3 linked regions of the Macaca fascicularis genome follow. The protein of the gene in region 1 interacts with the protein of each later gene in a pairwise test. Links are inferred from orthologs where the notes say so. Each region holds a gene or a part of one and is shown in the gene's direction. Other genes may lie near its edges. The genes, in order: AP1M1, ENTR1 and ZBTB43.

What was found.
Region 2: the proteins of AP1M1 (region 1) and ENTR1 interact in binary tests that used the Homo sapiens proteins (3 or more experiments, as listed by UniProt). The two-hybrid records come from large-scale screens. The link is inferred for Macaca fascicularis from reciprocal best matches to the Homo sapiens genes AP1M1 and ENTR1.
Region 3: the proteins of AP1M1 (region 1) and ZBTB43 interact in binary tests that used the Homo sapiens proteins (3 or more experiments, as listed by UniProt). The two-hybrid records come from large-scale screens. The link is inferred for Macaca fascicularis from reciprocal best matches to the Homo sapiens genes AP1M1 and ZBTB43.

Annotation. Positions count from the first base shown.
Region 1 is NC_088393.1:16,519,162-16,522,905, forward strand, and holds the start of AP1M1 (AP-1 complex subunit mu-1), read left to right. Parts: upstream 1-1,228; 5' UTR 1,229-1,325; coding exon 1,326-1,367; intron 1,368-3,744. UniProt on the Homo sapiens protein: Subunit of clathrin-associated adaptor protein complex 1 that plays a role in protein sorting in the trans-Golgi network (TGN) and endosomes.
Region 2 is NC_088389.1:2,956,685-2,960,378, forward strand, and holds the start of ENTR1 (endosome-associated-trafficking regulator 1), read left to right. Parts: upstream 1-852; 5' UTR 853-1,013; coding exon 1,014-1,083; intron 1,084-1,171; coding exon 1,172-1,321; intron 1,322-3,694. Other genes in the region: PMPCA (mitochondrial-processing peptidase subunit alpha), read right to left, coding at 683-753. UniProt on the Homo sapiens protein: Endosome-associated protein that plays a role in membrane receptor sorting, cytokinesis and ciliogenesis. Involved in the endosome-to-plasma membrane trafficking and recycling of SNX27-retromer-dependent cargo proteins, such as GLUT1.
Region 3 is NC_088389.1:17,206,187-17,209,890, reverse strand, and holds the start of ZBTB43 (zinc finger and BTB domain-containing protein 43), read left to right. Parts: upstream 1-864; 5' UTR 865-989; intron 990-3,704. UniProt on the Homo sapiens protein: May be involved in transcriptional regulation.

The DNA of each region.
Region 1 (3,744 bases):
TAACCCTTGTAATCCCAGCACTTTGGGAGGCCGAGGTGGGTGGATCACCTGAGGTCAGGAGTTTGAGACCAGCCTGGCCAACATAGTGAAACCCCGTCTCTACTAAAAAGACAAAAATTAGCCGGGCGTGGTGGCATGTGCCTATAATCACAACCACTTGGGAGGCTGAGAGGCAGGAGAATTGCTTGAACCCGCGAGGCAGAGGTTGCAGTGAGCCGAGATCGTGCCACTGCACTCCAGCCTGAGTGACAGAGTGAGACTCCATCTCAAAAAAAAAAAAAAAAAAAAGCAAAAAGCCTCTCTTGGCTGCTTGCTCTGTGCCTTGTGCAAGAATCCTTCCAGCCCAGGATCACTTAGTAGTCCTCAAACATTCTAGTTTGCTTTTCTAGAGGTTCGGTCACATTTCTATCCTAAGCAAAGACTATATAATTACCGAGTTGCAAAAATCATCTCTCCAAACGCCAAAACGGAGATAGGAGGGAAAATAAAAGATGTGAGAGGCAGGCATCCTGGGTAAACCACTCTGATATTGCAGGGTTGGGATCCCCAGGGTACTGTGATGGCTAACTGGAACAGAATGCAGGTATTTCTCCAAAGCCCAAGATTTCATAAAAGCAAATTAGATATGATTCAATGGATTAATCAAGGGCCACCAGTTGCATTACCGACTACTAACTTTGCAGAAATGAAACACGGTATGCTGGGTCAAGGTTCAGTGAGACTGGTTTTCTTAACATTCCAGGCAATAAACAGGCATGCTCATTCACTGATAAAAGTTGACAATGACAGGTGGTGACTGTTGATAAGGTCTGATTGCCATTCAGAAAGTTTGACCTCTTTCCAAGTAACCACGGCCTTACCTCTCCCTTTTGAGCTTATCACAATTGGTGACTGTACACTTGTTTCATAGACTTCCCCACTAGACTGTGAGCTCCATAGGGCTGGGTCCCAGGTCGGTTTCACCACCAGGCTCTCTCGCCTAACTCGGCCGACGGGAGGCGGTTTTCAGCTGCTCTGGCTCCATAGCTCAGCCTGGCAGCGGCCAGTGGGTGCCCTGATTTGGTCGGCCCCGCCTCCCAGGGCCTTACTTCCGGGAGGCTTCAGGCGGGAGCAAGAAACATGGTCACATACAACGTAATGCGCCTGCGCAGAGTCCGTCCTGCGCCTGCGCATTCCTGGCAGCTCCTCCCGGACCGGACATAACGGTCCCCGCGCGGCTCCCCGAACCGGAAGTGGAGGTGAGCTGTCGCGGGCGGCGCCCGGCCTTGCTCAACGCCTGGCAGTCCCCACCGTCGCTGCCGCTGCCGAGGCCTCCTGCAGCCACCATGTCCGCTAGCGCCGTCTACGTGCTGGACCTGAAGGGCAAGGTAATGAAGGCTCCCCACCCTCCCTGTTGCCAGGCAACCGGCGGGGGCCTCCGCCCGCGGGGACCCACCCTGTTGCTAGGTAACCGGCTTATGAGCCCCACCCTGGTGTGAGGCAAAGAGGCCGGTAGACCTCACCTGAGAGCCCCACCCTATTTCTGGGTAACCGGGCGGGGGTCGTAAGTGGGTAATCCACGCCCTGTTGCTAGGTAACGCGGTGGGCTGCAGCCACCGCGTTGCCAGGTAACCGACTGCACCGCCCTCTGCTCCCAGGCACCCGGGCCAGAGGCTCTGGGCTCGGTGGAGGACCCAGAAGCGGGGCCGCAGCCGGCCTTGGAGCCAGGCAGGGTGTCCAGGGGCTGCGCGACCCTTGGCCGGGGGTGGCGAGGCGTGGCGGGGACTGGGTGCTCTCCAGCCAGTCCCGCCCTCTCAGGGCGTTGCAGCTTCTGTTTATCGTGCACTTTCTCTCAGGAGGAATTTCTCCACGTTCATTGCGATAGTGAGTTACAAGGGTTAGGTGAGTGGATGGTGATCACGAGTACCGTTTTATAGAGGGAGAAACTGAGGCACGGAGAGGTGAAGTAACCTGACCAAGGTCACAATGGTCACAGAGAAGTAGGAAGTCTAGGAGTCCGATCCAGAAGCATTTGTTTATTTAGCTGATATCTGGGGAGCACCTACTAATGCCAGGCAGGATAGTAAGCCTGGGGTCGATTTGTGTTTAGCAAAAAACAATCCTGCTTTTTTTTTTTTCTTTTTGAGATAGTGTCATGCTCAGTCGTCCAGTCTGGAGTGCAGTGGTGCGATCTCCACTCACTGCAACCTCTGCCTCCTGGGTTCAAGCAATTCTCCTGCCTCAGCCTCCCAAGTAGCTGGCATTACAGGCACCTGCCACCACGCCCAGCTAAATTTTGTATTTTTAGTAGAGACAGGGTTTCACCATGTTGACCAGGCTGGTCTCGAACTCTTGACCTCAAGTGATCCAGCTGTCTCAGCCTCCCAAAGTGCTAGGATTACAGGCGTGAGTCACTGTGCCAGGGCTCAACAATCTGTGTTCTTATGACGTTCACAGGCTGATTGGGGAGATGGATACCGATCTCCAAAAACACAAATAAATGTCAGTTGCAGTGGGGGGGTGGGGCGGATGTGTTATACAGACGGTCAGCCTCAGCCAGAGGATGAGAGAGGGTTTTCCTAAGGAGGGGTGACAAATGGACCTGAGATACCAGGGAGCTGGACATAGACTAGAACCCGGGCATCTTCCCCAGAGGATCTGAGAAAACTGAAAGAAGGGATTGTCCCCGCCTTTTAGAAATGGTCCTCTGCCTTCTCCCAAGTCCATCCCAGGTACAAGGCAAGTGGCTGCCTGGCCTGTTGCATGTGGAAGCAACAAGCACCGGTCCAACAATGTTAAACCCAACATTGGTCAGTGAGAGAAACAAACGTGGGTGTCAGGTCCTAGGTGAGGCGGGCAGGGGTGAGCCCTAAAGCAGCTGAGAGTGAAGAGGTGAAGTGGCTGCCCCTTCCTGTCCCACCCCACCCCCACACTTTCCTGAAGTCCCTTGAGTGGGTGCCTGCCCTGGAAGCCAACCAAAGCCAATAACTGGTGAGATCCAGTGCTGGGTTTCCTTCCCCCGCCTTCTTGGAAGCAGGGAAGACACCCGTCTTAGATCACGCCAGGGGCTGGGTGTGTGCAGTGTACCCTGAGTCCTGGTGACATGAGTCTTGCTTCCGCACTGGCCACTGCCTCCCCAGAGGTGCCAGCGGGCTGCCTGTCTTGGCTGGCTTATTCCTTCAGCAAACATTTCATGAGCACCTAGGATGCACCCTGTCCTGTGCCAGGCATAGGGTGTCCATTGGCACCGTGGCTGTGGTGTTAGGGCTGAGCTCAAAACCCATCTCTGCTGCTCAGCTGTGTGACCTGGGACAGGCACCTTCTCTCTGAGCCTCGCTTTCCTCACTGGTCAAAAGAGGCTTTCATGGAGTTATTGTGCAGATTTGCCGAGCAGATGTGTGAGACAGGCTCAGCACCACCCATGGTCCATGTTAGCTTTCCCAGGCCTCTCGGTCTAGCAGGGGAGTCCTCTAGAAGCAGAGACATTACCACACAGTTGGATCCAGGCAGCCACAGGGGCAGGAACAAGGTCCCAAGTCCTGCAGTTGCTCAACCTCGTCTTTAGCCAGTGGAAGGTGGAGGTGGTTATGAAAGGCTCCCTGGAAGAGGGCAACGCCGGAAGTGGGTTTGGAAGGTGATCAGGCACGATCTGGTGGAAAAGAGGTATTGCAAGGGGCAGCCTGCTGGGGCCGCTGAGCCAGAAGTCCTGGCTAATGCTGAGATGGGAGAGAGGGACCAAGGGGACCACTTCATTTCCAACAAGGA
Region 2 (3,694 bases), on another chromosome or scaffold:
TCACTCTAGTCTTTCCTGTTATTTCCTATCACGAAAGGCTGCTTGTTTACTCCAAAGCATTTACGCGATTGCCGATATTTTGTTCACGCTCCAGTCTGTATCCATCTCCTGGAGGCAGCACCTCCGCACCCCTGAAACAGCGCTCGTTGTGTGGGGAGGCGCGATGCCTGTGCTGTCGGAACAAAGTTCCAGCGTGGGGAAAGGCAGGCCCGGTCACTTGGGCGGGAGGGGCGGTGGGGACGGAAAGGGTTCTTAAACGTCAGAGATCAACGGACGCTCGAGCGCATCAACCGAGAGCCTGGACCCTCGTGTCAGAACCCTGCGGGTCTAACAGAGCTGGGGCCCCACCGGCTCAGCCTCCTGAGGGAGCACGCGGCAAAAGCACGGGGGCAAAAAACGCGGGGCAGCGATGAAGCATGGCCTCGGACAAGGCCCGTCGACCCGGGAGGTGAAGGGGGGGAGAGGACCCAGCAGCCGGGGAGAGAGACAGATAGGACTGCATCCCCGGGCTTGAGGCGCAAGGCAAGGCAGGGCCCCCGTCGCCTCGGGGACCACACCAGTGTCCCGAAGTGCGAGCCCGTCGAACGGGCGCCATGTCGCCTGTAGAAACCAAAGACGGAGCGTCCAGAAAGACTCAAGCCGCCCCGGTCCCAGGCTGAAGCCTGGTTCGCCTTTGGCTCACCTCAGCCGCGAGCCGCTCCAACAACCCGACCCCCGCAGCAACCGCGTAGCCACGAGCACCACAGCCGCCATCTTGCGTCTCCGCCCCTGCTTCTGTCGTCACTTCCGCTTCCGCCCGCGGATTCCCCGCCCCCTTGGGCGACAACCCGAGGCGTTCCGGCGCGCGCTTCCGGTGCTCGGAGCGGAAGCAGCGGCTAGAGGCTCGGAGGAGCGGGGACGGCCAAGCGGCAGGCGACGGGGGCGGGCGACACGGACCGCGGCCCGGGCGGAGCCGGGGCCATGAAGCCGCCGCTGCCGGGCTAGGCAGGTCCTGCCCCGCCTGGCCCGCGGCGATGTCGGGCTACCCGCGCCGCCCGGGCGCCACCCCGCTGTCCCGAGTCCGGAGCCTCGCCATTCCCGACGGTGAGCGGGGCAGGGGCCGAGTCCAGCGGTTCAGGTGGGCGGCGGCCGCCCCGGCGCGCAGTAAAGTCGCTGTTGTCGTTGCTTCCAGCTCCAGCGTTCTATGAGCGCCGGTCTTGTCTCCCCCAGCTAGACTGTGAGCGCCCCCATGGCAGGGACCTGGACTCCCCCTTCTTCGGCATTCGGCCGGCCTTTATGTGCTATGTGCCCAGCCCGGTGCTGGCTTCCGTGGGAGACACAGGTGAGAGACGAGGGCGCCGGCCCCGGGGACGCCTCCAGTTCCCGCGCCACCTGTGGCACCTCCGCTGCCGCAAGAGCTCGTCCATTGACCCAACAATGAGCACCGCGCTCACTGCGTGCCAGGCACTCGGAATTCAAAGGCGGAGTCCCCTGCTAGGAGCTCACAGTCTGGTTGTGGGGAGACCTCCCCCCAGACAGACAGTTCCAGTTCAGGATGGGTAGTGCCCAGGGAGCACAGGAGCCGGCCCGCTTTCCTCGTGGGGCTGAAGTGGGGGGGCCTTCACCCCAGTGGGCGGTGATTGGAAACGGAGCTGGAGCATTCCATCTGCCTCCACAGCCGGGCAGCGGCCAGATCTGGTTCATCCTCGTTCTACCCGAGCAGAAGTGCTGCTGGGTGCCCGGGGTGTGCGGGAGTGTTTGTGTGGCGCTGCCAGGGTCTGAGGACATTCGGGGGGTGTCACAAGACAAGAGGACACGCTCGCTCCGACTGGGCTTCAAAACCTACTGAGGAACCCCTTTCAGACCACAGATACCAGGGCCAGTCTGTGTGAGTCAGGCCATCTCCAGGGTCACAAGTCCGGGAGCTCGTGTTTTTTAAAGTTCTCTTGGCCCACCGGGCGCGGTGGCTCATGCCTGGAATCCCAGCACTTTGGGAGGCCGAGGCAGGTGGATCACGAGGTCAGGAGATTGAGACCATCCTGGCTAACATGGTGAAACCCTGTCTCTACTAAAAGATACAAAAAATTAGCCGGGCGTGGTGGTGGGCACCTGTATGTCCAGCTACTGGGGAGGCTGAGGCAGGAGAATGTCGTGAACCTGGGAGGCGGAGCTTGCAGTGAGCTGAGATTGCGCCACTGCACTCCAGCCTGGGCAACAGAGTGAGACTCCGTCTCAAAAAAAAAAAAAAAAAAGGTTCTCTAGAGGTTCTCTAGGCTGTGAGAACCACTGCAGTGGAGACTCCATGTGCAACAAAACCAAAACACAAATGTGAGGTCATAAAGACTTCCTGCCGTCATGGTGGGTGACATTGTTTCTTTGCAGATTTTGGCTATGAAAAGGGGAAATATTCTAAGCAGAGCCCGTCAGGAGGCCACGAGACACATTTTGGAGGTAGAGTAGTTCAGTCACCTTTTCTTCTTGTCTCCATCCAACACAGTGCCAGGCACATGTCTGGTGGCAGGACTGTCGATATGACGGGCTACATGGTGTATCTGGAGCCCAAAAGAGCAGGTGGGGGTGGGATTTCAAGGGTTCACTCCTACCCTAGAGTAGGAGCGAGGTGCAAGGGCAGAAGAACCTGAGTGAGGGAACGTCAGGGAGTGGGGAAGTCCCACCTCAGGGGCTGGGGCCACAGGAGCCGGCATTACATGGGGCTCGCAGCTGGGAGGGCCAAGCGTGGCTGCTTAAGTCCCCGGAGGGTGGGAAAGCGGTGAGAGGGAGAAGAGAAAGGTGGGCGTTAGCTAGGTTACCTAAGTAGGAAAGTCGGGAAGAGGGTCAAAGAGCGCCAGATCCCCAGTTTTGCAGCACCTGAGGAACTTGTCGTTGCTGCTGCTTTTTTTTTTTTTGAGACGGAGTCTCACTCTGTCGCCCAGGCTGCGATCTCAGCTCACGGCAAGCTCCGCCTGCTGGGTTCTTGCCATTCTCCTGCCTCAGCCTCCTGAGTAGCTGGGACTACAGGGGCCCGCCACCACGCCCGGCTAATTTTTTTGTATTTTTAGTAGAGATGGGTTGTCACCGTGTTAGCCGGGATGGTCTCAATCTCCTGACTTCGTGATCCGCCCGCCTCGGCCTCCCACAGTGCTGGGAGTACAGGCGTGAGCCACCGCGCCCGATCACCTGAGGAGCTTTGAGAGCTCCCAGCACAGGTTGACTTCACACCAGGGAACTGGGTGTGTGCAGTGGAGTGGCCTGGGTCGTTTTAAAGCTCCCCAGGGGAGTTTTAGTGGGCGGCACAGTGTGGGAGCAGGGGCCGAGGGGTGGAAGGAGAAGATTTCAAATGCAGACGCACGTCCGTGTCACTGCCCACTTTCAGCCACCTTCACGCTTTTTTTTGAGACGGAGTCTCGCTCTGTCGCCCAGGCGGGAGTGCAGTGGTGCGATCTCGGCTCACTGCAAGCTCCGCCTCCCGGGTTCACGCCATTCTCCTGCCTCAGCCTCCGGAGTAGCTGGGACTACAGGCGCCCGCCGCCACACCCGGCTAATTTTTTGCATTTTTAGTAGAGACGGGGTTTCACCGTGTTAGCCAGGATGGTCTCGATCTCCTGACCTCATGATTCACCTGCCTCGGCCTCCCAAAGTGCTGGGATTACAGGCGTGAGCCACCGCGCCCGGCCTCCTTCACGCTTCTTAGTGCCACCTGAGTCATGGTAGAATG
Region 3 (3,704 bases), on another chromosome or scaffold:
CCCACTGCTATAAGACCTATCTCTCTTCTACACTAACGTGGTGGGGCAAGGGGGAAGAAAGGGGTGAGAAGGATGGAGGGTTTGGGGAAGGAGTGGGAGAACTGGAAGCTAGAGAGATCGTTTCTGTCCCACCATCTGTGTGACCCCAGTGCCCAGCACAACGCAGCCCACGGAAAGGCACTGGTCCTTTCATTGAACGTTTACTGAACATCTACTACATGCCAAAAAGCTGGATGGGTGCTGTGGAGGCAGAAATGGATTTGGAGATAATCTCCGCCAGGCAAACTGAGGTCAAGGTTTTCGTTTGTTTGTTTAGAGAAGAGACGGAGAAGGTCAAGGTGTTTTTGTTTTGTTGTTGTTGTTAAGAGTCTTGCTCTGTGCCCAGGCAGGAGTGCAGTGGCATGATCTCGCCTCACTGCAACCTCTGCCTCCCGGGTTCAGACAATTCTCCTGTCTCAGCTTCCCAAATAGCTGGGACTACAGGCGCCAGTAACCACACTCAGCAATTTTTGCATGTTTTGTAGAGACAGGATTTCACCATGTTGGCCGGGATGGTTTCGAACTCCAGCCTCAAGCGATCTTCCCGCCTCGGCCTCCCAAAGTGCTGGGATTACAGGCGTGGGCTACCGCGCCTGGCCTATGTCAAGGTTTCAAGAAGGTTTAGAACTCGGTATCTGCTCCCCTATTTTCAACAGCTTAGTCAGTCCCTAAAATTGATTGACCCGCTCCAGACTGTACTGCGCAGGCGCCCGCTACCTATGCGCTCTCTCCGGACGCCCAGCTCAGACAGTGAATCCCGCATGCGCACTCCTCTTTCTCTCTGGCGCACCCCCGGAAGCACTGTCAATTTCGGGGGGCGGGACCGGGAAGCGTTTCCGGGGGCTGAGGCACAGGCTGAATCTGTTGCGGCAGCGAAGGCTAGAACAGGCCTGCGCCGGCGGCGGAGAGGATCCCTTGGACGGGGGATGTGAGCGCTGAGCCCTTGGCAGGTACTGAGTGGCCAGGACCACGGGCGGCAAGGCTAAGGGAGGAGAAGTTGGTGGGGGAGTTAAGGGCTCCTCTGCAGGCCCCGACGCACGCGCCGCTTGCCCCGCCAGGCCCATTCCGTGGACCGGCATGCTAAAGCCCCGCGCGGAAGGTTGGGGTCCCGGCGCCCCAGCTCCGAATCCCGCAGTCTCCTGCCCACACGGCGCGCAGACCGCGATACCAAGGCCTTTGGGGCAGCTTCTCGCCCAAGGTCACCCTCGCGGCAGCGGAGCTCCGCCGGCCACAGCGCTTAGAGATCCTGCCCCCGTCCGTCCGCTGGCCTTTCGGGGCGTAGGGTGGGCGCGGCTTGACGGCCTCGGGTTCGAGCCACCAATGCGTGAAGCCTGAAGAGCCGAGCTGGCAGAAAGACTGCGCCTGGACTTCTCTGATCTTCTTTTCCCTTCTGTTTCACCCCGGTTGCTGTCTCTGTCACCTGTTGTAACCTGTCCTTTTTGTCTTTCAGCTAGGTCCCTGTCAACCTGATATTTCTCTCCACTTTGTCTTTCTCGGGGTATATGGATCCTGTTTCATATCTGTCTCCACCTTGCTTCTGTGTCTGTTCACCCTGTCTCTGCCACTCAGCCCTTACTCTAATTCAGGGCCTGTCAGTCTAGCTTTTTGGCCATCTGTCTGTTTTTCTCTCTTTCTTCCAACTTTTTTTTTTCCTCTTGTTTCTGTTTCCTAGCTGAGTTTGTCTGGGTAGGGCAGGGCTGCCCAGACCTCTGAGCCATGGAAGGTGACTCATGACCCCGTGAAGCTCCCTGCACTGGTGACACTCTCAGTGATTCGACCGCAGTTTGGCCTCAGCTCTGACAGGTGCCGCCCAACATAAGTGTCAGAGTGCAGGAGAGTCTGTCAGGGAGACAGGAGGCCCATTTTGGGGCCAGAGCAGCTTGATGAGTCCTAGCCTTTTCTCGCCTGTGGTTTTTCAGGCCTGCACAGCTTCCCAAATCCCTTCACTCCATCCACTTAACCACGGGATGGTCTCCAGGGATCTCTGGAGCCTGCTCTTTGAGTTACAGCTGTTTAACTGGCCTGTCTACAGGCTAAAGAAGGATCAGACTGAGATCTTTGGGGCTACTGGAACAGTAGCAGAGTTTCTGGGAGAGCTGCATGCTTAGTTCAGAGACTGTGTCAGCATTTTCGGTTAAATTGTAAGAAACCTAATAATCGGGGATTTATTATTTGCTTTACAAAAGTACCACGGGAGAAATAAACCGTACACAAAAGGACAAATATTGTTTGAGAGCACTTAAATGAAGTACCTAGAATAAACCAATTAAGAGACGGAAAGTAGAATAGTTTACCAGGGGCTGGAGAGAGGAGTTAGTGCTTAATGGATACAGAACAGAGTTTTGGGGGATGATGAATAAAGTCTGAAAATGGGTTGTGATGATTGCACAATATTGTGAATGTACTTCACTGAATTGGACTCTTAAGAATGCTTAAAATTGTTAAGTCTTAAAGTTTTATGTATATTTTATACAATACAAAAAAAACAAAAACAGTATTCATTGGAGACTCCTGAAACCAATAAGCTCCTTTTTTTTTTTTTTTTTTTTGAGACGGAGTCTTGCTCTGTCACCCAGGCTGGAGTGCAGTGGCCGGATCTCAGCTCACTGCAAGCTCCGCCTCCCGGGTTTACACCATTCTCCTGCCTCAGCCTCCCGAGTAGCTGGGACTACAGGCGCCCACCACCTCGCCTGGCTAGTTTTTTGTATTTTTTAGTAGAGACGGGGTTTCACCGTGTTAGCCAGGATGGTCTCGATCTCCTGACCTCGTGATCCGCCCGTCTCGGCCTCCCAAAGTGCTGGGATTACAGGCTTGAGCCACCGCGCCCGGCCCAATAAGCTCCTTTTACGTGTAATTTTTCAAAATTCATTCTGTAGTTGTTAGGAACATTTAGTTGAACCTGGGTTTATTGATTCCTACTCTCTTTACAGCAGTGGGTACAGCTGAGGTTCTTAGAAAAGTTTAGTTAAATGGATATGGTTAAAATCTTCCTCAAGCTTTCTACTTACTTTCTGCCCTGGCTCTCTTCCCTCTGCCTTTCTTGGAATCAGTGCAAGAATCTGCTCATAAGTAGGATACTTGATAATTATACTCTTCACAGGAAGAAAACTCATAAGGTTGAAAAATAGCCCTTTTATTATAATGCAAAATTATGTGTTATTTCTTGAGTTTTCTTATGGGGGATGCCTTTGTGGGTTTTTTGTTTTTTAAAATCTCTTATTTAAGCTCTTTGCCTTTAAGGTAGTTTATTAAACTTTCTAATAAGATATCGCAACTGAATTACTAGTTTATTTCATTGAATGCTAGATGCTGTTGATTATTTCATGTACCACTAAGGAAGAGAGAAACCCTGCTAATTAAACTATGGCTTAATGCGCTCTTATCGTTTAGACTTTTTATTATTGAAAACACTTTTAAACTTAGACACTAAAAAATGGTATCAATGCCTATGCTAATGCATGTATATACAAAGGAAAAATAAGAATAAATTGGTTAAAGTATTCATTAAAGTTAACATTCCAGGTTCTACTCTTTATACTTTTCAGTTCAGAGTGTGTCCATATTTTTTCTAGCGTGTCATCCTTTGTGTCATCAAGAACATTGATGAGGACCTCAGCAGTTCGCTGTCATTGCCTCAGGCTGTGACAACTATTAAAACTGCCACC